3 linked regions of the Anolis sagrei genome follow. The protein of the gene in region 3 purifies or fractionates together with the protein of the main gene of each other region. This does not show direct contact. Links are inferred from orthologs where the notes say so. Each region holds a gene or a part of one and is shown on either strand. Other genes may lie near its edges. The genes, in order: YEATS2, KAT14 and ZZZ3.

Region 1 (7,865 bases), on a different chromosome or scaffold from region 3:
TCCTTCCTTCTCTTCCTCTTTCCTTCCTTCCCCCCCTTTTCTTCCCCTTCCTCTTTCTCCCCTTTCTCCCTTCTCTACCTATTCTTGGACTGCAACTCTCAGCAATCCTCCTGATCTATCTATCTAATCTATCTATCTATCTTATTTGGATGATTGCTGGAAGTTACAGTCCAAGAATAGGAAAGTGGAAATATGCAAGGATTGGGATGCTTTCAAAGAAATCCAAGAAGAAGAAAGCTTGCATCTTGAAAGTAAAGTGCATTTGGATCATCCTCCTCTCCAAAAAGGCCTGGTCTAGGGGATGCTGGGAGCTGTAGTCTGGAAGAGAGAGTGGATATGCTATTGTGCGTTTTGTTTGCCAGGGTGAGTTGTTTTTGCACATGCGCTGTAGTGTCTTTTTGCTTTTTTGGCCTTTTATGTCCCATCTGTTGTGTTTTTCAGTGTTTTTATGAATGATGGTCACTTGTCGGCCTGATAGGTGTATTGTGTCCAAATTTGGTGTCAATTCATCCAATGCTTTTTGAGTTATGCTAATCTCACAAACCAACATTACATTTTTATTTAAATAGATTGTATGGGACATTGAATGTCTGCCTTGTTTTGGAAGTGTTAGGGATTCCTCATCTTCGGAGGAGGAAGGGGAGCAGGGAAGTGCTCAGAAATTGGAGGGAGAAGAAGAATCAGATGATGAGGGTTTGAAAGCGTCCACATTTCTATAGAGACGAAAAGAGAGAGCACAGACAGCATTCAGCTAGGACAGCTGCTAAAAACGCTGAGCTAATTGGGAGACGCCCTAGCACCTCCTGCATGGAGAATTCAGGGCTACAAATCAGGAGGAGTCAGCTTTTGCTGGTAACAACAACCCTGTTACTGCTGTTTTCACTCCAATGGAATCTGCTTTGTGTCTGCTGCTAAGAATTTAGTTCATCGTCCGTTGTCTGATGGAAGACTGGTGTTTCTTTTGGGACTTTAATTTGTGTCTGGATTAAGACTTTCTTGTTTTCCTTTGCACTTTTCAATTGCATTTGCTTATCCTTTGTGTTTACTGAAGTAAAGCATTTTTCTTTTACTTTCAACATTGTCTAAAGGCTATTTTGAAGGGCAACTCAGGACAGGAAGCCGCCCTGAATCTGCTTGGGGAGAGAGGTGGGTTAGGAATATTGTTATTATTATCTCTACACTGTAGAATTAATGCAGTTTGACAACACTTCAACTGCCTCAGTTCCATCAGGGGAATTGTAGTTTCACAAGTTCTTTTTAGCCTTCTCTGCCATAGAGTGCTGGTGCCTCACCAAACTATGAACCTCAGAACTCCATTGCATTAAGCCATGGCAGATAAGGCAGTGTCAAAATGCATTAATTCTACAGTGTAGATGCACTCAAATGCTACCTTAAGGGATGGGGTGTGTGTGTGAATTTGGAGTCCTATGTGTACTTGGGGAAAACCTTCCTGAGGGACTCTTTGTGAATCCTGGAATATCACAACATCACAATATTGCATTGTTGTGATCTTGAGGATTGGATCCAATGTGGATTTATTTATTTGCGACATTTACATGCCGCCCTTCTCACCCCGAAGGGGACTCAGAGCGGATTACAAGATATATATACATACAATATATTTTATTATTAGCATAGTACAATATAAGTATTAAATATTACTATATTGTATTATACCATTATATTGTAATATTATTAGTAATATTACATGTAATCTATATAAATAAAAATGTAATGTTCGTTTGTGGGATTAACAGAACTCAGAAACCACTAGACAAATTGACAACAAATTTTGACTCAATACACCTAACAGTCCAACAAGTGTTCATCACCCCTAAAAATATAAATACAGAACGGACTTTAAAACCCCCAAAATACACCATATATATATATATACACACACACACACTCATATACATATGCACATGCACACATACATACACATACGTATATATATACCCAAGCACACACAAATACACACACATACATTTACATACACACATATATACATATACACATGCACACATATATAAACACAAATATGTATATAGGCAAGCACACATAGACACAATATACATATACACATGTAAACACACAAATATATACACACGTATATACACATCTACACACACATATATACACCCACATATATATATATATATATATACAGAAACACACATATACACAGATACACAAATATATAAACACATATGTATACACACAAAACACATATATACAGAATGGGCCACAGCAACGCGTGGCAGGGGACGGCTAGTATAAATATATAATTATAATATCATATTATTAGTAGTACTATTATATTGCATTACATTATAACATTATAAATATTATATGTATATACAATATATAATATAATGCATTATATATATTGTTTAGACACCATCAAAATGTAAAGGAAGAGACAGGTGCAACTTTCCAGCCTTGCACGTGGGACTCCAAAGCGAAATCAACGCTAAAGACAAGGTTGCAATGCAGATTTTTTTTTTTAAAAAACCCTCTGATTTCTTTAAGCATGTCCATCTGTCGGGAGTGTTTTGATTGTGTATTGCTGCATGGCAGGACGAGGTTGGAAACTTGGAACTGGGTAGTTTTTTGGGGGAGGGGGAAAGATATTTCCCATCTTCTATGATTCTATGAACTTTCCTGCAAAGTGTATGGGAGAGTTTACCAATACAATTCGGAAAGTTCTCCTCCTTTCAAAGAGCAAAACTTGCCTCTTTTTTGCAAAAAGGTTCCCCTCCCCAACAACTAACTCACCCGGGAGCACTGGGCAGAGGCGACCCCGCGCATGCGCCGCAGCGCGCGCTTTCTCACCCCCCCCCCCTTCCCAGCCCGGTAAACCTCCCGCCGGATCTGCAGCGCCGACTCACCGGTGGCTCGGCTGAGAAGTTCTCCCCGGAAGGCCGCTGCGAGTGGGCGAGCCTCGCGCGTCAGCCAGCCAGCCAACCAAGGCACCCGCTTGAGGCTCCGCGAGGCCGACGCTTGCAACGCGCAGCCGCCATCCAGCGCCGGGGCCACCCAGGAGGCGCGGCTGCGCAGGCGGAGAGAGGCCGAGGGGCGGGCAGAGCCGGCAGAAGAAGGACCCCTCTCTCCCCCAGCCTGGTCTGCCCCGCGGCGCCCAGGATTGCCTCTCCCTAGACTCCCCCCGCGAAGGAGGGCTCCTTCTAGCTCAGAATCCTAGACAGAGACATCCCTGTTCTGTCATGCAGGGATACACAATCAAAGCACTCTCGACAGATGGCCATCCAGCCTCTGCTTTCAAACCTCCTGAGAGAGATACTCTTCCACATTAGTCATCCCCATCCTTTTACTTGTTAGAGACCATATTGTGTCATGCAGGGATACACAATCAAAGCACTCCCGGCAGATGGCCATCCAGCCTCTGCTTTCAAACCTCCAGAGAAGGAGACTCTTCCACATTAGTCATCCCCATCCTTTTGCCAGTTAGACACCCTATTCTGTTATGCAGGGATACACAATCAAAGCACTCCCGGCTGATGGCCGCGCAGGCTCTGCTTCCAAACCTCCAGAGAAGGAGACTCTTCCGCTTTAGTCATCTTCATCCTTTTACCAGTTGGAGGCCCTATTCTGTCATGCGAGGATACACAATCAAAGCAATCCCAGCAGATGGCCATCCAGTCTCTGCTTTCAAACCTCCAGAGAAGGAGACTCTACCACACAGGCCTGTAGCGAGGGGGTGGTTTTAGGGGTTCAACCCCCCCCCCGAAATGTTTCAGATTTTTTTTAAAAAACCTGGTTTACTCATGAATTTTAACTGGTTAACCAAATCCCCATGCTAAGTCTATGAGATGCAAAAAATTAAGAGTATCTCCAGAACTGCAAGCACTATCTCAAGCAAATATTGACAATTTATTCACACTGTCATTACTTGCAGCAATAGCCGATGTAGTGAAGCAACCAAGTTGGGTGTGTGTGTGCTGAATGCGGAGGCCAGACTTGGTGGAGGTGGTTGGCAGGGGTGGAGCTGCAGGCTACTGAAGGTTGCTCTGCCCCCTGCTGTGCTCTTTGCTTTAGCGTGCACTAGGAGGCAGGTTTCAACCCCGCCCCCTGAAATTTTCAACCCTCCCCAAAAATTTCAACACCCCCCCCCCCCGAAATTGTCAACCCTCCCCAAAAAAAATTTCTGGCTACGGCCCTGCTACCACATCTTGTTACCAGTTAGTGACCCTATTCTGTCATGCGAGGATACACAATCAAAGAACTCCCGGCAGATGGCCATCCAGTCTCTGCTTCCAAACCTCCAGAGGAGACTCTACCACATTAGTCATCTCTATCCTTTTACCAGTTAGCTCAGGCTGCAAGTGGTTAGTATAAAGCAGGCATGGGCAAATCTGGGCCCTCCAAGTGTTCTGGACTTCAACTCTCACCATTCCTAATAGCCTGCAAACAATCCCACCAGCACAACCAATCTGTAAAGCAAACAGTGTCAGATTTTGTGATATTGTCATGTTTTGATGGCATAGTAGTTTATCATCATCATCATCATCATCATTTAATAACTTATTAATTGCCCTCCATCCGAGAATGCTCTAGGCGATTTACAGCTAAATTATAAAAGATAAAATACATACATACAAAAATTAAAAATCAACAGAGATCGAATGCTCTAGTAAAAAGCCAGGTCTTAAGTGCGAGAGTAAAAGGCCCTAAGTCACGCATGGCTCTCATGTAGGGCGGCAAGGAATTCCACAAGGCAGGGGCAGAAATAGAAAAAGCCCTGCGTCTGGTCCTTTCCAAGTGCACTTCTCTAGGACCTGGTATATGGAGTAAGTCACGTTGGGCTGGTCGTTGCGACCTCCGATGATGGGAAAAGGAGAGGCGGTCCCTAAGGTACGATGGACCCTGGCCGTAAAGAGTTTTAAAGGTCAGAGCTAGCATCTTATACAGGCCAGGGTACTCAGTTGGAAGCCAATGTAAATGTTGCAGCACTGGTGTTATATGGCATTTCATGGGCGTTCTTGTGAGTAGCCTGGCTGCCGCATTCTGAACAATACGAAGCTTTCGGGTCGTAGACATCGGAAGGCCCTCATACAGGGCATTGCAATAGTCCAGCCTAGATGTGATCGTGGCATGGATGACAGTTGCCAGAGCCTCGTCAGATAGGTAGGGTGCCAGTGGCTTCACTTGTCGTAGATGGAAAAAGGCCTGTTTGCTGGCAGCAGCAATCTGAGCTTCCATTGTCAGCTGTGAATCCAGGATGACACCTAAGCTCTTAACAGTGGTTGATGGAGATAGGGCGGCACCATCGAAGGTGGGTAATGGAGGAGTCAGACCTGCCAGGTGGCCATACCAGAGAATCTGGCATGTGATGGGCTAGGGCAGGCATGGGCAAACGGGCCCTCCAGGTGTTTTGGACTGCACACAGACTACATTCTCATCAGCATATTGGTATATTATATGTATTATAGTATAATAATATAGTACAATATAGTCATATATAAGGTCCCCCTGGTGGTGGAGGCATTTAAACCGCTGAGCTGCTGAACAGCGGTTCAGATACGGGGAGTGGAGTTAGCTCCCGCTGTTAGTCACCGCTTCTGCCAACCTAGCAGTTCGAAAACATGCAAATGTGAGTAGATAAATAGGTACTGCTTTTGCGGTCCATGCAGTCATGCTGGCCACATGACCTTGGAGACATCTGCGGACACCGCCGACTCTTCGGCTTAGAAATGAAGATGAGCACCAACCCCAGAGTTGAACACGACTGGACTTGATGTCAAGGGGAAACTTTTTGAAAATATGACAATGTAGACTCATATTATCCAGTTCAAAGCAGATAATCTGTATTCAGAAACTGGATCATATGACCATGTAGATGGGTCCTCCATTCTCCCTGAGCCAGAGGCGTCACAACTCAGGAAACCCTCAGGTGTTGTTCAAGCAAAATAATGTGTGGAAACTGTAGGTGGCTCCTATACTTTTAATGGCTGTGCAGAAGAGAGAATTCCATCAGGTATGCAGCCAGGTCACAAACAACACCTGTTGAAAAATCCTCTTCCACACAATTATTAGAGATGCCAGTGCCCTCTCCAGTTTTCCCTCTGACAACTCTAACAATGAAATTGGATCTTGTAACATCATTGAGACTAAGAGAAAGAAGCTGGTAGCATAAGTTTTCATTGACTGAAGGGTATTTCAACAAAGGAATCCTAGCAGTTTAGCAAGCTCTATTGCAAAGAGCCGAAGAACTCTTTGCAATGTGTCTACAACATTACAGAACTGGTGCTAATCTGGTGTAAAAGTGGGGATTTTTTAATGTCCCTTTTCTTCTTTTTTAATTGTTTTTTTAAATCTGAAACTGCCTTTAATGTCTTACATTCTATAATATCTTTAAATTTTCAGTTGATGTCTTACATTCTATAATATCTTTAAACACAGGTTGCACAACCTTTTCCTGGGGTCCTTTAGCACTAGCTTTACCTTAGGTTGGCCATAAGTTGGAAACAACTTGAAGACACACAACAACAACAACAACAAAAAACACCCAATTGTTGTGTTTCTTCCAGTGGTTTCCAACTTATGGCCAACCTAAGGTAAAGCTATCACAGCTTTAGCAGACAAGAGTCCTTTGTCCCACCCTGGTCATTCCACAGATATATAAACCCTTTTTCCTGGTTCCAACAGACCTCACTACCTCTGAGGATGCTTGCCATAGATGCAGGCGAAACGTCAGGAGAGAATGCCTCTACAACATGGCCATATAGCCTGAAAAGCCTACAACAACCCAACTATCACAGCTGTTTCATGGCAAGATTTGTTCAGAAAAGGTTTTACATTTCCTTCCTCTGAGGCTGAGGAAATGTGACTTGCCCAAGGCGACACACTGGGTTTCATGGCTAAGTGGGGATTCGAACCCTGTTCACCAGCATCATAGTCCAGTGCTCAAACCATTATATCACATTGTCTCCCTAGGGTGGAATAGATGCCTCTTAAAGTTCCTCTGATTCTTTAGTTATTTACTATCATGAGAGTATTACTGTATATGATGAAGATCGGCTTGTGGAATATAAGCAACTTGATAAGGGATTTTCTGTGTTAGTAGGCATTGCAGAGACTTCACTAATGGAGTCTTTTTGGCTGCAAATTCAACACAGCTGTGTTTAAGCATGTAAAATCAGTTGGTGTGTGTGTTAACTGAAAAATGCAATGCATTAAGCTGATTGGTTGGGTTATTCCCGGGGTGTTAGCTGAGCCTGGGAGTTCTGGCAACAGTTACATGTTTAGGTTTTCTGTGCAGGAGCTTGCCAAGACAAGTAGTATAATTTTCTGCTTTTGAGCTGCTGGAAGAAGATCCTTCACATGGACATTCAAGGACCATTTGAATCTCTCTCAAAGGACATTTTGCGAGTCAATGCAACTGTTCGCATGACTATATATGTTGCTCTGCATAACAAAGAGTACACAGCTTATTCTTTACTGAACATTTGCATGGCATATCTTTTCTCTAGCAAGGCAGTGTGTGGATTGGCGAAGATGTGAACTATGTGTGATTTTCATTCTGCCACAAGCTGCATGTCTCCCCAAACAGTGTGTCTACCTACTGTCAATAATGGACTGGATGAGGACAAACCAACTGAATATTCAGAAAAGACAGAAATTAAGAAAAGCTTCTTTCATTGGATTCTGTTGGAAATTTCTAATTGCTATTTGATAGAATCTCATCACAATGAACTAGCATTTGATTCACGGGTGCTCAGATACTGAACTATGGTTAGCAGAACTGTATTTTTTTAATTGGCTTGTTATCATAAAAAATAAAACAAAAATCTTGCTATTTTAGATTGTTTTATTTGTTGTTTATTTGTTCAGTCACTTCCGACTCT
Region 2 (7,415 bases), about 26 Mb from region 3:
ACACTGAGTTTATTTTCTTGTATGTTTTGCCTTGAATTTTGTTTATTTGTTTTCTAGCATTGAATGTTTGCCACTTTTGTTATTTCTTGTGATCCGCGCTGAATCCCTTCGGGAAGAGAGGGCGGTCAATAAATAAAGTTTTATTATTATTATTATTATTATTTCTTATCATTATTAAAAATGAAGAAGGTAGTCAATTCTGGATTAAACCGAGTGCTTGCTAACATAATGTGTACAACCAGCATGGTTCATTATATAGGCACAAGAGTGTTTGAAGGAACATGGGGCTACAACAGTGGTTCTCAACCTGTGGGTCCCCAGATGTTTTGGCCTACAACTTCCAGAAATCCCAGCCAGTTTACCAGCTGTTAGGATTTCTGGGAGTTGAAGGCCAAAACACAGGCTGAGAACCACTGGGCTACAAGGCATAATGCCACTTTCCATGTTCATAGCTGTGTCTTTTAATGTTAAGAAAGGATTATATTTGTAATGAGTTTTGAACTGCTCTAGCTCAAAAATCACTTCTTTTTGCCTTTGCATCAAAAAGTTAGCATAGGTTTAACAAAATCACTAGAATCTCACTAAACAAACAAAAGATCCCCAGTGTATATCATTACACAGAAATTTGAAACCTTCTTACTCCATTACTGCTTGTTTGCTACTTACTTGCTGCCATGTTAGTTTTAGCCGTTCAAACTGCTCCTTCCCATCTTCAGCGCAATCAGAGCAAGTAAACTTGAAAAAGTTATCACCTTTGAGATGGGTGATCTGTTCTCTCACCTGACCTATAAACAAGCAAGGAAAGGCTTCAGGTTTGTCATAAACTGTAAAACTGCACATTGCATTCTATCAGAGTGGAGATCCCCTGACTTCAGTAAGAAGGTTCTTACTAGATATGTTGCTCCTTAAGAGAAACTAACGAGACTGAATAATTTATGCTTTAATTACATTTCAATTTATTAGCATTAAAAGATTGACAGAAATACTGACTCTAAGCAGGTTGCCTTTTGAAAATCTGAACACTTTAACCTTTTTTTGCTGAACTGTAAGAAATACTGACTGAAATACTATTGAACACCCTGAAAATATATAAGGCTAGATATTTTTAGAAAAATCAGATCATAATCCATAAGCTTCATGACTTTTATTATTTGTTTAGTTACATACCAGTATGTAACTAAACAAATGACAGGGAATCAACAGATAATTAGTACAGGAGGCTTTCACTTATTTGATAGTCTAAGGACCACAACACTGTCAGAAAGTGGAATTGGTTGGGAAGTGGAACCCGGGGGAGGGGGGGGGGGTAGCTTACAAGTGCATTCTGACTGCAGCATTTTTTTCCCTTGACATTAAGTCCAGTTGTGTCCGACTCTTGGGTGTGGTGATCATCTCCATTTGTAAGCCAAAGAGCCAGTGTTGTCCATAGATACCTCCTAGGTCATGTGGCTAGCATGACTGCATGGAGCGCCGTAACCTTCTCGCCAGAGTGGTACCTATTGATCTACTAACATTTGCATGTTTTCGAACTGCTAGGTTGGCAGAAGCTGGAGCTGAAAGCGGAAGCTCACGCCGCTCCCAGGAATCGAACCTGCGACCTTTCAGTCAACAAGCTCAGCAGCTCACACTTTAACCCAGTGTGCCACCAGGGGCTCCTCAGTACAGTATAGTGTAACATATATATGAGCAGTCCCAAGTTAACCTCATAGACAAGATGTGATAGAACAGTGGACCTGTCATCAAATTACTGGAACTTGTGTGTAATTTTGCAAGCCTTGAAAGAGCAACATATCAGAAAACAAGGCGTTCAAAGACAGAAACCTGTAGAAGGATTTCTTGCCTGGTACTGAAACAAACTGTGTCACTATTTATATTGTACTGATTATGAGGCTTATTTAGAATCAGCAATCAACGTCCAAAAAAATCATGGTGCATGCTGGAGTTTTTCTAGCTTCTCTTTACACAGCAGATACCACCACTCCATGAATCTAGGACCCCACCTACAAAAGCCATTTAATGCAGTTTCAAACTGGTATCAAAAAAGTGGCTTTGCTCTGCAGATGATTACATAGAAAATCCTGGAATCAGTTTGAGGCTCAGATGGTGATTACACAAACCATAGAGCACTGATATGCATTAAGGGCTTTCTTTTGCTAGCTTTCATGGCCATTTGTTGTCTAGCTAGTTTTGAACTGCATTAACTTGTCAGTGTGGATAGGGACACAGATGAATTTCTAGAATAAGATCCTACACAGTGCAAATACTACAGCTGAGAGCAATAACAGACCAGTCTCTGCATACAGAAAGAACCACCTTAGATTTGAATGTGGGGCTTCAAGGAATTTAACTTCATAATGACTATGATCATAACTGCTCAACAGTTAAAGCCTAAGCAGTCGGTTTTCTCTTATCAGCAAACAGAGCAAGACAGCAATGATGCCCAAAACTTGTAGCAGCTTAGCATATATCCTGGAGGAGAGGGGAAAAACCATCCACAGCAGACGTAATTTGTTCAGCATTTTAATTTTATTTGTACGAATCCATTTGCATAGTTGTTACTCTCATTAAACAATGAAGGTTTAACCATAAACCATATATTCTAGATGGACTGTATTTCAAATGACAGAGAAACACATACATCATTTTCATACACATAAATACAGAGAGAGAGAGACAGGCAGACAGACAAAAAGGGAATAAACCTGGAGTTCTGAAAACCACAAAAATTAAATATAAGGGATTCTTACTTGCAGCTATCCATTTCTGGCATCTTTCGCAATAATAGGACAGCTCCTCTGACCAGGATGTTTCCCCTTCATCACTATTCACAGAATCTCCACTCTGATCATGACTCAAATCCACTGATGCCTGATCTTCAGATTCCACTATGAGAAGAGTCTCCCCTTCCACTTCCCCTTCTTCCAGTCCTTCTGAAGGGGACGTCCTTGTTGCTTCATCATCATGACAACTCATCATTTCACTTATGTACATACTATTATCCATTGTTTCTTAAAAGAGGATTTTTTTGGTATGCTAGAAGCTTCCTCTGCTAATAGCATTAGACATATGAAGATTATCTCAACCATCAAGAAACCTATGCAATTACTGAAAGGACCAGGAAATTTCAATTTCAATTCTTCTCCGTCACTGTTAGCATTTTTTGAGCACTTGAATTTTGCTTTCCATTTCACGTTGTTGGATCAAGGCAGAACGTTCCTCCAAAAGGTTAATATATTCTTGTTTATGATTCTGTCTCTCAAAGTCTCTCAACACTCCTTCGCGTAGCCTCTGAAAGAAGGATATGATCATTTTTACTTCACAGGAAAAATGATATTGGAAAGAACGCCCCACAGTGAAACTTCTCAAGTTGTGTTGAAAAACAAAAATTAGACTGAGCTATCTTTTTCCTAGCAACTAACATAAGTTTTCAAGTGTTGCTAACTGCCCTGCAGCCAAACAATAATTTATGTTATACTAATAAGTATATAAACAATTTACAAATTAAACAGAGAAAACTATCCAAGAATCATTATTATTTGTAAAAACAATCTAATCTAGTAAATCTATATAAATAAAAATGTAAAGTTTGTTTGTGGAATTAACACAACTCAAAAACCACTGAACGAATTGACACAAAATTTGGACACAATACACCTATTAGGCCAACAAGTGACCATCACTCATAAAAACACTGAAAAACACAGCGGAAGGGACTTTAAAGCCAAAAGAAGCAAAAAGACACTACAGCGCATGCGCAAAACGACTCCCCCTGGAAAACAAAACACATAAAAGCATATCCACACTCTCTTCCGGACTACAACTCCCAGCATCCCCTAGACCAGGCCCTTTAGGAGAGGAGGATGATCCAAATGCACTGCTTCCAAGCTGAAAGCTTTCTTCTCCTTGGATTTCTTTGAGAGCATCCCAATCCCTGCATATTTCCAATTTCCTATTCCTGGACTGCCACTCCCAGCAATAATCCAGATAGATAAGGTAGACTGAGTAGATGGAGATGGATAAGATGGGTAGGTAGATAGATTGAACAGGAGGACTGCTGGGAGTTGTAGTCCAAGAATAGGTAGAGAAGGAAGAAAGGGGAGAAAGAGGAAGGGAAAGAAAAGGGGGGAGGAAGGGAAGAGATGGAAGGAGAGAATGAAAGAAAAAAAGGGAAGGAAGGAGGGAAAAAGGAAGGGGGAAGAGAAAGGAAGGAGGAGAGAAAGGAGGGAAGGTTGGCCACAGCAACATGTGGCGGGTACAGCTAGTGTTTAATAAAAATTATTTGGAGAGATAAAAAATCCAAATTATCTGCTTTGAACTGGATGATATGGTCAGATCAGCTGGAAAGCAGGGGTCTAGGGCGAACTCGCCATCAGCATTTTAGAAGGGGCCTTTGTCATTTCCGACTTGGTAGTAAATGATGCCAAGCAGCTCTCTAGTGCAAGTGGTTCCCGACCTTTAATCCTCCAGGTGTTATGGACTTCAACTGCTAGAAATCCCAGCCATTTTAGCAGCTGTTAGGAATTTTTCTTTTTGTCGTGTCAGGAGCGACTTGAGAGACTGCAAGTCGCTTCTGGTGTGAGAGAATTGGCCGTCTGCAAGGACGTTGCCCAGGGGACGCCCAGATGATTTGATGTTTTTATCATCCTTGTGGGAGGCTTCTCTCATGTCCCGACATGAGGAGCTGGAGCTGATAGAGGGAGCTCACCCTCCTCTCCCCGGATTTGAACCTGCGACCTGTTGGTCTTCAGTCCTGCCAGCACAGGGGTTTAATCCACTGCTCCTGTTAGGAATTGTGGGAGCTGAAGTCCAAAACACTGGGAGGACCAAAGGTTGGGAACCACTCCTCTAGTGGTTTGCTTCTACTTAATGCTATATTCTTGCCTCATAATCTAGTGCAGTGGTTCTCAACCTGGGGTCCCCAGATGTTTTTGGCCTTCAACTCCCAGAAATCCTAACAGCTGGTAAACTGGCTGGGATTTCTGGGAGTTGTAGGCCAAAAACATCTGGGGACCCCAGGTTGAGAACCACTGATCTAGTGGAAGTGAGAGGAATTCAGAGACTCTCTATCTATTCAGAGACTCTATTCTATCTACTCTCCCTTCCAAAACACATTGAAGTTCTGGCATTCTTCTAATTCTGGTGTTACTTCATGTGGAAGCTATGGTTTTGAAAAGGGTGCCATGCCAATACAGCGCCAAAGGAAGGGAGGCAAGGCTGGGCCCTCTACAGAGGCCTCTCAAAGTCTCTTCTCAGGGAAGCAAGCACTTCCGCCGCGCGCGAGGCGGAAAAAAGGCTTCTAGCACCTTTGGGGATGACGTCACTAGGGAAACCGCGCGCCGTTACCTCTTGCAGGCGCCTCTGCTGGAGGTGGACGCCCGCCACGACCCCGCCGGAGAGCAGCAGCGAGGCCCCCAGCACCACTTTGGAGGCCGTCGACATGGCGGCTCATCTGCGCATGCGTGCTTCCGCGCGCCCCCTAATGCGCATGCTTGCAGGGCGCCGAGTAAGATTGCTCCCTCCCTTTGCTCCCCTCCCCGTTTCTGAGGGGCGGGGCTTCTACACTGCTCTTTTTTAAACAAGTGCTGAGAAGAGAAACTTAGGATCGTCTTATCTTCTTCTCTATATAAATAAAAATGTATTGTTCGTTTGTGGGATTAACAGAACTCAAAAACCACTGGACGAATTGACACCAAATTTGGACACAAGACATCTAACAACCCAATGTATGTCTTTCACTCAAAAAAACTGATTTTGTCATTTGGGAGTTGTAGTTGCTGGGATTTGTAGTTCACCTACAATCAAAGAGCATTCTGAACCCCACCAACGATGGAATAGATCCAAACTTGGCACACATAACTTCCATGACCAACAGAAAATACTGAAAGGGTTTGGTGGGCATTGCCTTGAGTTTTGGAGTTGTAGTTCACCTACATCCAGAGAGCATGGTGCACTCAGTGATGGATATGGACCAAACTTGGCACAAATATTCAATATGCCCAAATATGAACACTGGTGGAGTTTGGGGAAAATAGACTTTGACATTTGGGAATTGCAGTTGCTGGGATTTATAGTTCACCTACAATCAAAGAGCATTCTGAACTCCACCAACAATTGAATTGAACCAAACTTGGCACACAGTTCTCCCATGACCAATAGAAAATACTGCAAGGGTTTGGTGGGCAGTGTCCTTTGGTTTTGGAGTTGTAGTTCACCTACATCCAAAGATCACTGTGGACTCAAACAATGATGGATCTGGACCAAACTCTACACAAATACTCAATATGTCCAAATGTGAACACTGGTGGAGTTTGGGGAAAATAGAGCCTTGACTTTTGGGAGTTGTAGTTGGTGGGATTTATAGTTCACCTACAATCAAAAAACATTATGAACTCCACCAATGATAGAATTGGGCCAAACCTCCCACCCAGAACCCCCATGTGGGTCACAGCAATGCATGGCAGGGGATGGCTAGTAGAATATAGAATTGGAAGAGACCTCATGGGCCATCCAGTCCAACCCCCTGCCAAGAAGCAGGAAAATTGCATTCAAAGCACACACACACACAGATGGCCATCCAGCCTATGTTTAAAAGCATCCAAAGAAGGACCCTCCACCACACTCTGGGGCAGAGAGTTCCACTGCTGAACAGCTCTCACAGTCAGGAAGTTCTTCCTAATGTTCACATGGAATCTCCTTTCTTGTAGTTTGAAGCCATTGTTCCACGTCCTAGTCTCTAGGGCAACAGAAAACAAGCCTGCTCCCCCTTTCTTATAACATCATTTCATATATTTATACATGGCCATCATATCTCCTCTCAGCCTTCTCTTCTTCAGGTTAAACATGCCCAGTTCTTTAAGCCGCTCCTCATAGGGCTTGTTCTCCAGACCCTTGATCATTTTAGTCGCCCTCCTCTGGACACATTCCAGCTTGGTTTGTTTGTTTGGCTCCTTGCTGCACTCTCATATGTGACTAGGATGCCTAGTCAATGTTGCTGGATTGGAAAAATTATCTTCTTTACCTTTATGGCAAAGCAAAGGCACCAGATGTCTTTCTGATTACACTAGGGCCCCTTCCACACAGCTGTATAAAATCCACATTGAACTGGATTATATGGCACTGTGGACTCAGGGCCCTCCAGGCAGGCCCTATATCCCAGGATCTGCATTAAAGTGGATTATATAAGTCCCAGATAATTTGGGATAAACAGAAAACCTGGGATCAGATCCAGGGATATAGGGCCTGTCTGGAAGGACCCACAGATAGCCCTGTTCAAAGCAGATATTGTGGATGGTCTGCCTTGATATTCTGGGTTCTATGACCTTATGTCCCGGAATATCAAGGCAGAAAATCCCAAAATATCTCCTTCGAGCTGGGTTATCTGAATCCACACAGAATGTGTGGATTCAGAATGTGTG
Region 3 (7,730 bases):
CCATCAAGTTGACTTCAACTTATAACGACTCTATGAATGAGAGACCTCCAAGTCACCACATCCCCAATTACTTTGTTTAGGTCTTACAATGTAAGGGATACAGCTTCCTTAATTGAGTCTATTCATCTGGAATATGGTCTTCCTCTTTTCCTACTGCCTTCTGGCATACCAAGCATTATGGTATTTTCTGGTGACTTATATCTTCTCATGATATGCCCACATAGTATGACCATCTCAATTTAGCCCTCTTGTGCTCTAGGGAAAATTCAGGCATGATTTGCTCCAGGACCCATTCAGTTGCCATTTTAATAGTCCATGGAATCCAGCATTACATTTCAAATAAATTGGTTATGTTCCTATCAGCTTTCTTCGTTGTCCAACTTTCAAAAGCATACTCAGCAAAATTACTACACAATAATACCTGCTGTGAGAGAAAACCTCTTTTACAACTGAGAGCAAATGGTTTAAAAATAATTACAAGTTCTGCCAACAATATCAGTTTGTAGAACTGAGGTACAATTATACATTTGCTTTGCTTTCTACAAAATCTATTCAGCTAAACTATTTTGAGGACCTCTATATGTCAACTACCTCTTATCCAAAATGGTTGGAAACTAGAAGTGTTTGGGATTTTTAATTATTTATCATTCTGGAATATTTGGATATGCACACACAATAAGAAATCTCAGAGAGGGAACGGAATTCTAGACAGGAGATACACCTTATACACACAGCCTGAAGGTAAGCTAGCACAATATTTTAGTAACTTTAAGAAAGCAAAAGTGTCACTATTTCAACCACCCAAGTGCACAATTTTGGAATTCAGGGAGACCCTGGTTACAAACAAGATAGGCTCTGTTGGTTTGTTCTTAAGTTGAATCTGTATGTAAGTTAGAATATGTACATTTCACAAGTGTAACTCCTGCCAAATGTATACACATTTTAGCTTTGCATAGAACAGGGAAGGGTGAACACCCATGTGGTTTTGTTCTGCTGTCTGTGCCCCTGTTAAGATTTACCTCCTTTTCCATCCCAGTGATAATTGCGGGTTTTTAAAAAAAAATATATTGGCTTGTTGTGGAAACAGGGATGGTGAGAAAACTTCAGTGGAGACACCTTTTCCCCATGATAACTCTTTCAGGAGTGAATTTCCCTTCTGGGGGGTAGATTTATCCCAGATTATCTGGCATGCGGACACATATAACCCAGTTTAAAACAGAAAACCTGGGAGCAGATCCTGGGATATTGGGCCAGTCTGGAAGGGCACTCAGGGCTCTTCCACACAGCCATATAACTGAGAGTATAAAGGTAGAATAACCCACAATATCTGTTTCGAACTGGAAAATTTGAATCCACACTGCCATATATCCCAGTTCAAAGCAGATAATGTGGGATTTTATTCAGATGTGGAAGGAGTCCAGTAAACTATCCACTGTACACATCTGGAAAATATGTCAATGGGGACTCAGATAATCCAGTTCAAAGCAGATATTGTAGATTATCTGCCTTGATATTCTCAGTTATATGGCTGTGTGGTAGGACCCTCACTTCCTGTTGTCTCACCCTTGTTCTTAACTAGGAGTCCTTTGTAAGTCAAATGTTTGTAATTTGAGGAGTGTCTGTATTTTGGATTTGGAAATAAGAGATGTTCAGTATGTACTGGAAAAGTTATATTTTGGAAGAAAGAGCTAGCAAGACATATGCACTTTATCTAGTTATTCTTTGGCTTTAAAAACCCCTTTTAAATGCATGGAGTTGACAGAAATATAAACACACAGGGGAACTAAAAAGTACCGAAGAGCAGCGGACACATTTGGCACATGGACTTTACCAGAATTATCAGTGATGGCTCTGAAGTTCGACAGGAACAAAAAGCAAGAAATAAAAGAGTAAACATGTGAGGAAATAGCACTGTAGCCCAGGCCTGGGCAAACATGGGCCCTCCAGGTGTTTTGGACTTCAACTCCCACAATTCCTAACAGCCTACCGGCTGTTAGGAATTGTGGGAGTTGAAGTCCAAAACACCTGGAGGGCCCAAGTTTACCCAAGCCTACTGTAGCCTTTTCCCCTCCTTCCTTTATGGTTCTATGTAAATACTTCACGCCACAGGTGGGCGTTATAGGGCAGAAGTCTGAGGGAAGAGATTTCAGGGGGCTGACCGTTAGGTTGAATCTCGGGGAAGGAAGATAATGCCCGCCATGGCGCCGACGGGACGACAGGGGGCGCCTCGGAGACGCGAGGGAAGGGAAGGGAAGGGGGGCGGGAGGCCTGAGGGGAAGGCGAGTGGGCCAAAGCAGGGAGGGAAAGAGCCGCTCGGCCCCAGCACTCGCTCCGTCTCTCCCCGTGACCGAGCCCCGCCTCTCCTCACGCGTCAACGGGCTCGGAGGTGGGCCGCCCCCTCCCTCCCTCCTTCCTTCGCTCCCTCCCTCCCGGTTGCCCGTTACCATTATTACCCATCACTCTCAGCGCAGCGCCGCCGCCATCCCTGCCTCTGGCCAGCTCCCACGGGAACAAGCGCTGACCTCGCGAGAACTCCCCCTTTCAACCTTCCCCTCTTCCTCCTCCTCTTTCCCCCTCCTCCTCCTCCACTGAGAACCAACATGGCGGAAGGAAGAGGCGCGCACGTGTCCCAGGCAGACACAAATCCGGCGTGCGCGCGCGCGTCCAGACTGAAGCTACGGAAAAGGCGGGACGACGCAGGTGCGCATGCGCGCAGAGCAGCCTCCTTCACTCCCTCTCCCTTCCCCCTCCCCACAAGGCTCAGTTGAGCAGGTGGGATTTTCGAACAGGGCGCGCGAGCCTCCTCCCTCCTCCTCCCTCCGCACGCGCCGATCACATGAGGATTAGAACGCCACCTCCTCCTCCTTTTTCATCAGTGTTCCCCCCTCCCAACACATCATCCGGGTCCCTCCGCCTCATCCGTGTCCTGAGCGGCGGAGGGGGGAGGGGGGGAGCTGACCTGATTGTTGAAGGAGCTGAAGCGCTCCTTCCTTGTTCTCTCTCAGAGCCAAGCAGCAACGTCAGCGCTCCCCCCCCCCGCCCCGGCTCCAATAAACAGCGCCTCGCGGCAGCAGCGGCACCGCACCTTCCGCTTCCTCCCCATCTTGCCTGCGCCGCCCGCGAGGGAGAGGGGCCCGCTGCTCTCGCCCTGCAGCTCCGCCTGCCGGCTGAGCCGAGGAGGAAGGAAGAAGGCCGCGCTGGGCGGGCAGAGGCCTCTTCCCAACCCTTTTGCCGCAACCAGCAGCCGTTAAGGGGGGGGGGGGGGGTACACATTTGGGAGAGGGGACACTCCGTGTGTACATACAAGCCAACCAACTTTGACATGTTATATCATGCATGGGAAGGTGATAGTAGGATAGCTGGGCCCGGAAGCTCCGAGCGTTATGGAGATGCCGCAAAGGTGGCTGTGAATAAGGGAAGAGGGGGCGGAGGGAGAGAAGGGGAGAGCGAAGGAAGGGTAGAAAGGAGGGGACGCTTAGGGTAAGGGCTGGGGCAAGGTTTAGGGCAGTGGTTCTCAACCTTCCTAAGGCCATGACCCCTTAATACAGTTCATCATATTGTGGTGACCCCCAACCATAAAATTATTTTTGTTGCTACTTCACAACTGTAATTTTGCTACTGTTATGAAGCGTAATGTAAATATCCGATATGCAGGATGTATTTGCATTCACTATACCAAATTTGGCACAAATACCCCGTATGCCCAAATTTGAATACTAGTGGAGCTGGTGGGACTGATTTTGTCATTTGGGAGTTGTAGTTGCTGGAATTTATCGTTCACCTACAATCAAAGAGCATTCTGAACTTCACCAAAGATAGAATTGAACCAAACTTGGAACACAGAACTCCCATGACCAACAGAAAGGGTTTGGTGGGTATTGACCTTGAGTTTTGGAATTGTAGTTCACCTACATCCAGAGAGCGCTGTGAACTCAAACAATGATAGATCTTGACCTAACTTGACACAAATACTCAACATGCCCAAATATGAACACTAGAGAAGTTTGAGGAAAATAGACTTGACATTTGGGAGTTGTACTTGCTGGGATTTATAGTTCACCTACATTTTGAACCCCACTGATTCCATTGTCATAATCCTGTGATATTTACTTGATGATGAGAGTTGAAATGCCTTTCAGACACTGGGAAATGGCACAATGGGGGAGGCAGTGACCTGTGCCTTCTGTATTGAATGCTTCAATATGTCCATGGGCCGCTTCCTGGATGGTCTGGTAAATGAGACCCTCCAAAGTCCGGGAGAGGGGCTGTTGGTTTATTGTCCATGCAAATGGTTTTTGCCAAGTCCTTTTGTTAGGGAATTATCGGCTCAGGAAGTTCTGAAGTCCCTAGAGCCATGAGTTGCTGGCATAGTTCATGAAAAGGTCACTTTGTTTCATAATTTTTATACATACATATAATGAATGGGGGCATAGGGCATATACAGAGTTCATATGGGAAGGGGGAGGGATGCAGGGTCAAGAGAGAATTCATTTCAGCCACCCTAAAGTCATCAAAGTTCATGAAAGTTGGCAAAAAGTCCAAAAAAGTTCCTAAAAGTATATGTCCATAAAAGCACCGAGCAGCCAAAGTCCATTAATAAAAACAGGAGGTTAATTCATAGGTCTAATTCATGAATGGCCAGATTGGCCTGCCAGAGGTTGGGGGTCCCAGGGAGTGACCACAAGAGACTTCGTGGGATTGATAGGCCTCCAGGTCAGGGCAACTTGCACAAAAAGGAAACACGAGCATCGTAGTGTGGAGCCATGGAAAGAAACCTTCTTGTCCCCACATAAGGTTCCACATAAAGAGTTGGATTTCTGGGGTGCAGGGGTCTGTTCCAACAAAAAGTAAGATAGCAGTTAGTCTTAGAATTGACCTAGGAAAAAGATGGCACTGATTTGGAGCCGATCAGTCAACCCGCGGATACCAGGGCCGAGCCGGTTTCCATATTTACGGTTTGAAGGATTGCAGTTTTGGCTTCTCCGGGATGCTGCAAGAGCATCCCAGGTGAGCCAGCGAAGTTCCACGGCTTGGAAAGAGGAAAGTTCATATTTGCAACGGTGCTAGAGCCAGTAAAGGACACAATGTATCACTTCAGAGAGAGAAAGTTGGAGAAAAGGGTATTTTTATTGGGGAATTGTTACAATGAAGCAGGAGGAACTTAGTGGGGAGGAAAAAGAGTTTCTTCATTGAAGCTGTTGCTGGAGCCAAAGTCCTGTTGTCACCTTGAAAGTCCATGTTTCCAGGAACTATGGCACTCCCTGCTGCAGTTAGATCAGTTTGAAAGCGGGGGCCTCCGAGTTCAACCTCACACAGTCCCTTCATTATCTAACTTAAAATAATTGTGGGGATTGAAATGGAAAAAGGAGACCTTTTAAGGCCCAGAGCTGAGGGAAAAAGAAAAGGTCAAGTGGCTCCCTATCACGTGACTGGGAAAGAAAGGGAGTGAAGTGACCTGTATGAGGGGAAGAAAGGAAAGGGCGGGGGGAAGTTATAGAAAGGAAGGAAATAATGGAGGGCGGGAAGAAGGAGGGTGTAGAAGAGAAAGCAAGAAGGAGGAAAGACAAGAAAAGTGGGGAGAAGGTGTGTAAGGGAAATGAAGGAAAGAAAGAAGGGAAAAGGAAGAAGATGAGAAGAAAGGAAACAACGGAAGGAGGGAAGAGGAGATGTAGAAGAGAAAGCAAGGGAAGAAGGAAAAACAAGAAAAGGGGGAGAAGGTGTATGAGGGAAATGGAGAAGGAAGGAAAGAAAGAAGGGAAAGGGGGAAGATATAGGAAGGAAGGAAACAATGGAGGAAATGAAGGAGATGTAGAAGGGAAAGCAAGGGAAGAAGGAAAGACAGGAATAAAAGAGGGAAGAAGGTGTATGAGGGAAATGGAGAAGGAAATAGTTGCCCAGTGTTGCCATTGAGACATTGCAAAGTATATCTTCTCAGAGCTGGAGAAAGGAGAAAGGCAGACAGCAGCTCTTCAGGCACCTGGGGAGCAACGCTGAGTATATACAGTAGTTGTGAAATGTTGGAATTCAACCTCACACTGCCCAAGTCTCAAGGCCGCAACGTTAGCTTCGTACAGATCAGTGATTCTCAACCTGTGGGTTCCCTGATGTTTTGGCCTCCAACACCCAGAAATCCTAACAGCTGGTAATTTCTGGGATTTCTGGGAGTTGTAGGTCTAAACACCTGAGGACCCACAGGTTGAGAACCACTGGTATAGCCTAAGGGTTTCCCTTCCCCCATGTCTCATGTACGACAGTTGGGAATGTATCTATTTTGTTGTCTCCCTATCTCTCTCTGTTTCTACTCATTCTGAATGGTTGTTTAAAATTGATACTTTTCTACTGCAAGTTTTATGAATCTGCCTTCTTACACTTTAGCATGCAGAGTATGTGCTAGGTGCTTCGTGATCTCTCTCTGCTTGTGTGTCAGGACAGATGTAATGATTGAGTTTTTCTCTCTTGAAACCTTAGAGTAACTCAGACTCCATGGGTGTTAAGAGTAACTCAGACCCAATTCTTCATTATTAAGAAATGCAGTTAGTTCTTTATTATTGTGATTTTTTAAGATTGGACTCTGCATGTTTGCCTCCTAAGCTCTGAATTCTTTACCGCCACATCACACAGCACTTCACGCTCTGCTTGCTAATGAATTGATGCTCAGCTTTGGTATTCTGGGTTTTTTTATGTTCTGCTTTATATTTTAGGGTAGTTTTCCCTAACATGAAATGTGCTTTATTAGTCTTTTATTGTGATTGTTTTTATGACTGAATGTTTTATACTGTTTACCTGTATTGCTAAATTCATTTTTTAAACTTTCTGGAATTGAATGTTTGCCTTTTGTTTTGTTAGCCACCCAGAATCCTCATGGGGAGAAGGGGTGGGATATACATTAATTCTAGGGATTTGTAGTTTGATGAGCAGTTAAAGTGATGTCAAACTGCATTAATTCTACAGTGTATGTATTGGTAAAGGTTTCCCCTTGACATTAAGTCTAGTTGTGTCTGACTCTAGGGGGTGATGCTCATCACCATTTCTAAGCCGAAGAGCCGACATTGTCCGTAGACACCTCCAAGGTCATGTGGCCAGCATGACTGCATAGAGTGCTGTTACCTTCCCGCTGGAGCGGTACCTATTGATCTCACATTTACATACTTTTGAACTGCTAGGTTGGCAGAAGCTGGGGCTGACAGTGGGAGCTAACCCTGCTCCCCGGATTCAAACTGCCGACCTTTTGGTCAGCAAGTTCCGCAGTTCTATAGTATAGATGTAGCTTTAGAGGTCTAGAATACGTATGTTATTTGAGTGGACAAGGCCAGTCCTACATACAAGCTACAGCAGAATTAGTAACTTGCACAGGCAGTATAACTCTTTAAGTGTAAGCCTAATGAATTTGACATAGCTGTGTCTATCTTGTTCTGTCTCTGAGCTGATGAGAGATGACTGATAAAATCGTCATACTGTTGAATTACATAAATGACTTCCAAAACTTGTGCTATCAAAAGTCTTATCAGTAGCATGGTTTGCTAGGGAGAAAACAAGTTAGGGACGAGAATAGTAAGTAGTAGACCTTGTCTCAGATGTGCTTAGTATACTTGCTCATTTCCTTTGAGGAGTGATGTCTCCAAATCAGTTTCATGTAGAATAGCAGAATAATAACTATATGAAGCAATCCCACTGGATTTTTTCCTTTCCTTTCCTCACTGTTGTATTACGTTTCTGTAAATTCAATGAAG

The links.
Region 1: the proteins of ZZZ3 (region 3) and YEATS2 purify together in Homo sapiens (affinity purification with mass spectrometry; 3 studies listed by BioGRID, with this or other methods). This does not show direct contact. The link is inferred for Anolis sagrei from reciprocal best matches to the Homo sapiens genes ZZZ3 and YEATS2.
Region 2: the proteins of ZZZ3 (region 3) and KAT14 purify together in Homo sapiens (affinity purification with mass spectrometry; 4 studies listed by BioGRID and IntAct, with this or other methods). This does not show direct contact. The link is inferred for Anolis sagrei from reciprocal best matches to the Homo sapiens genes ZZZ3 and KAT14.

Annotation. Positions count from the first base shown.
Region 1 is NC_090023.1:219,318,426-219,326,290, forward strand, and holds the start of YEATS2 (YEATS domain-containing protein 2), read right to left. Parts: upstream 3,030-7,865; 5' UTR 2,892-3,029; intron 1-2,891. UniProt on the Homo sapiens protein: Chromatin reader component of the ATAC complex, a complex with histone acetyltransferase activity on histones H3 and H4. YEATS2 specifically recognizes and binds histone H3 crotonylated at 'Lys-27' (H3K27cr).
Region 2 is NC_090024.1:133,210,380-133,217,794, reverse strand, and holds the start of KAT14 (cysteine-rich protein 2-binding protein), read right to left. Parts: upstream 3,004-7,415; coding exon 2,748-3,003; intron 786-2,747; coding exon 667-785; intron 1-666. Other genes in the region: protein PET117 homolog, mitochondrial, read right to left, coding at 3,151-3,288, 5,344-5,439. UniProt on the Homo sapiens protein: Component of the ATAC complex, a complex with histone acetyltransferase activity on histones H3 and H4. May function as a scaffold for the ATAC complex to promote ATAC complex stability. Has also weak histone acetyltransferase activity toward histone H4.
Region 3 is NC_090024.1:159,679,594-159,687,323, reverse strand, and holds the start of ZZZ3 (ZZ-type zinc finger-containing protein 3), read right to left. Parts: upstream 3,028-7,730; 5' UTR 2,960-3,027; intron 2,545-2,959; exon of another isoform or gene 2,454-2,544; intron 1-2,453.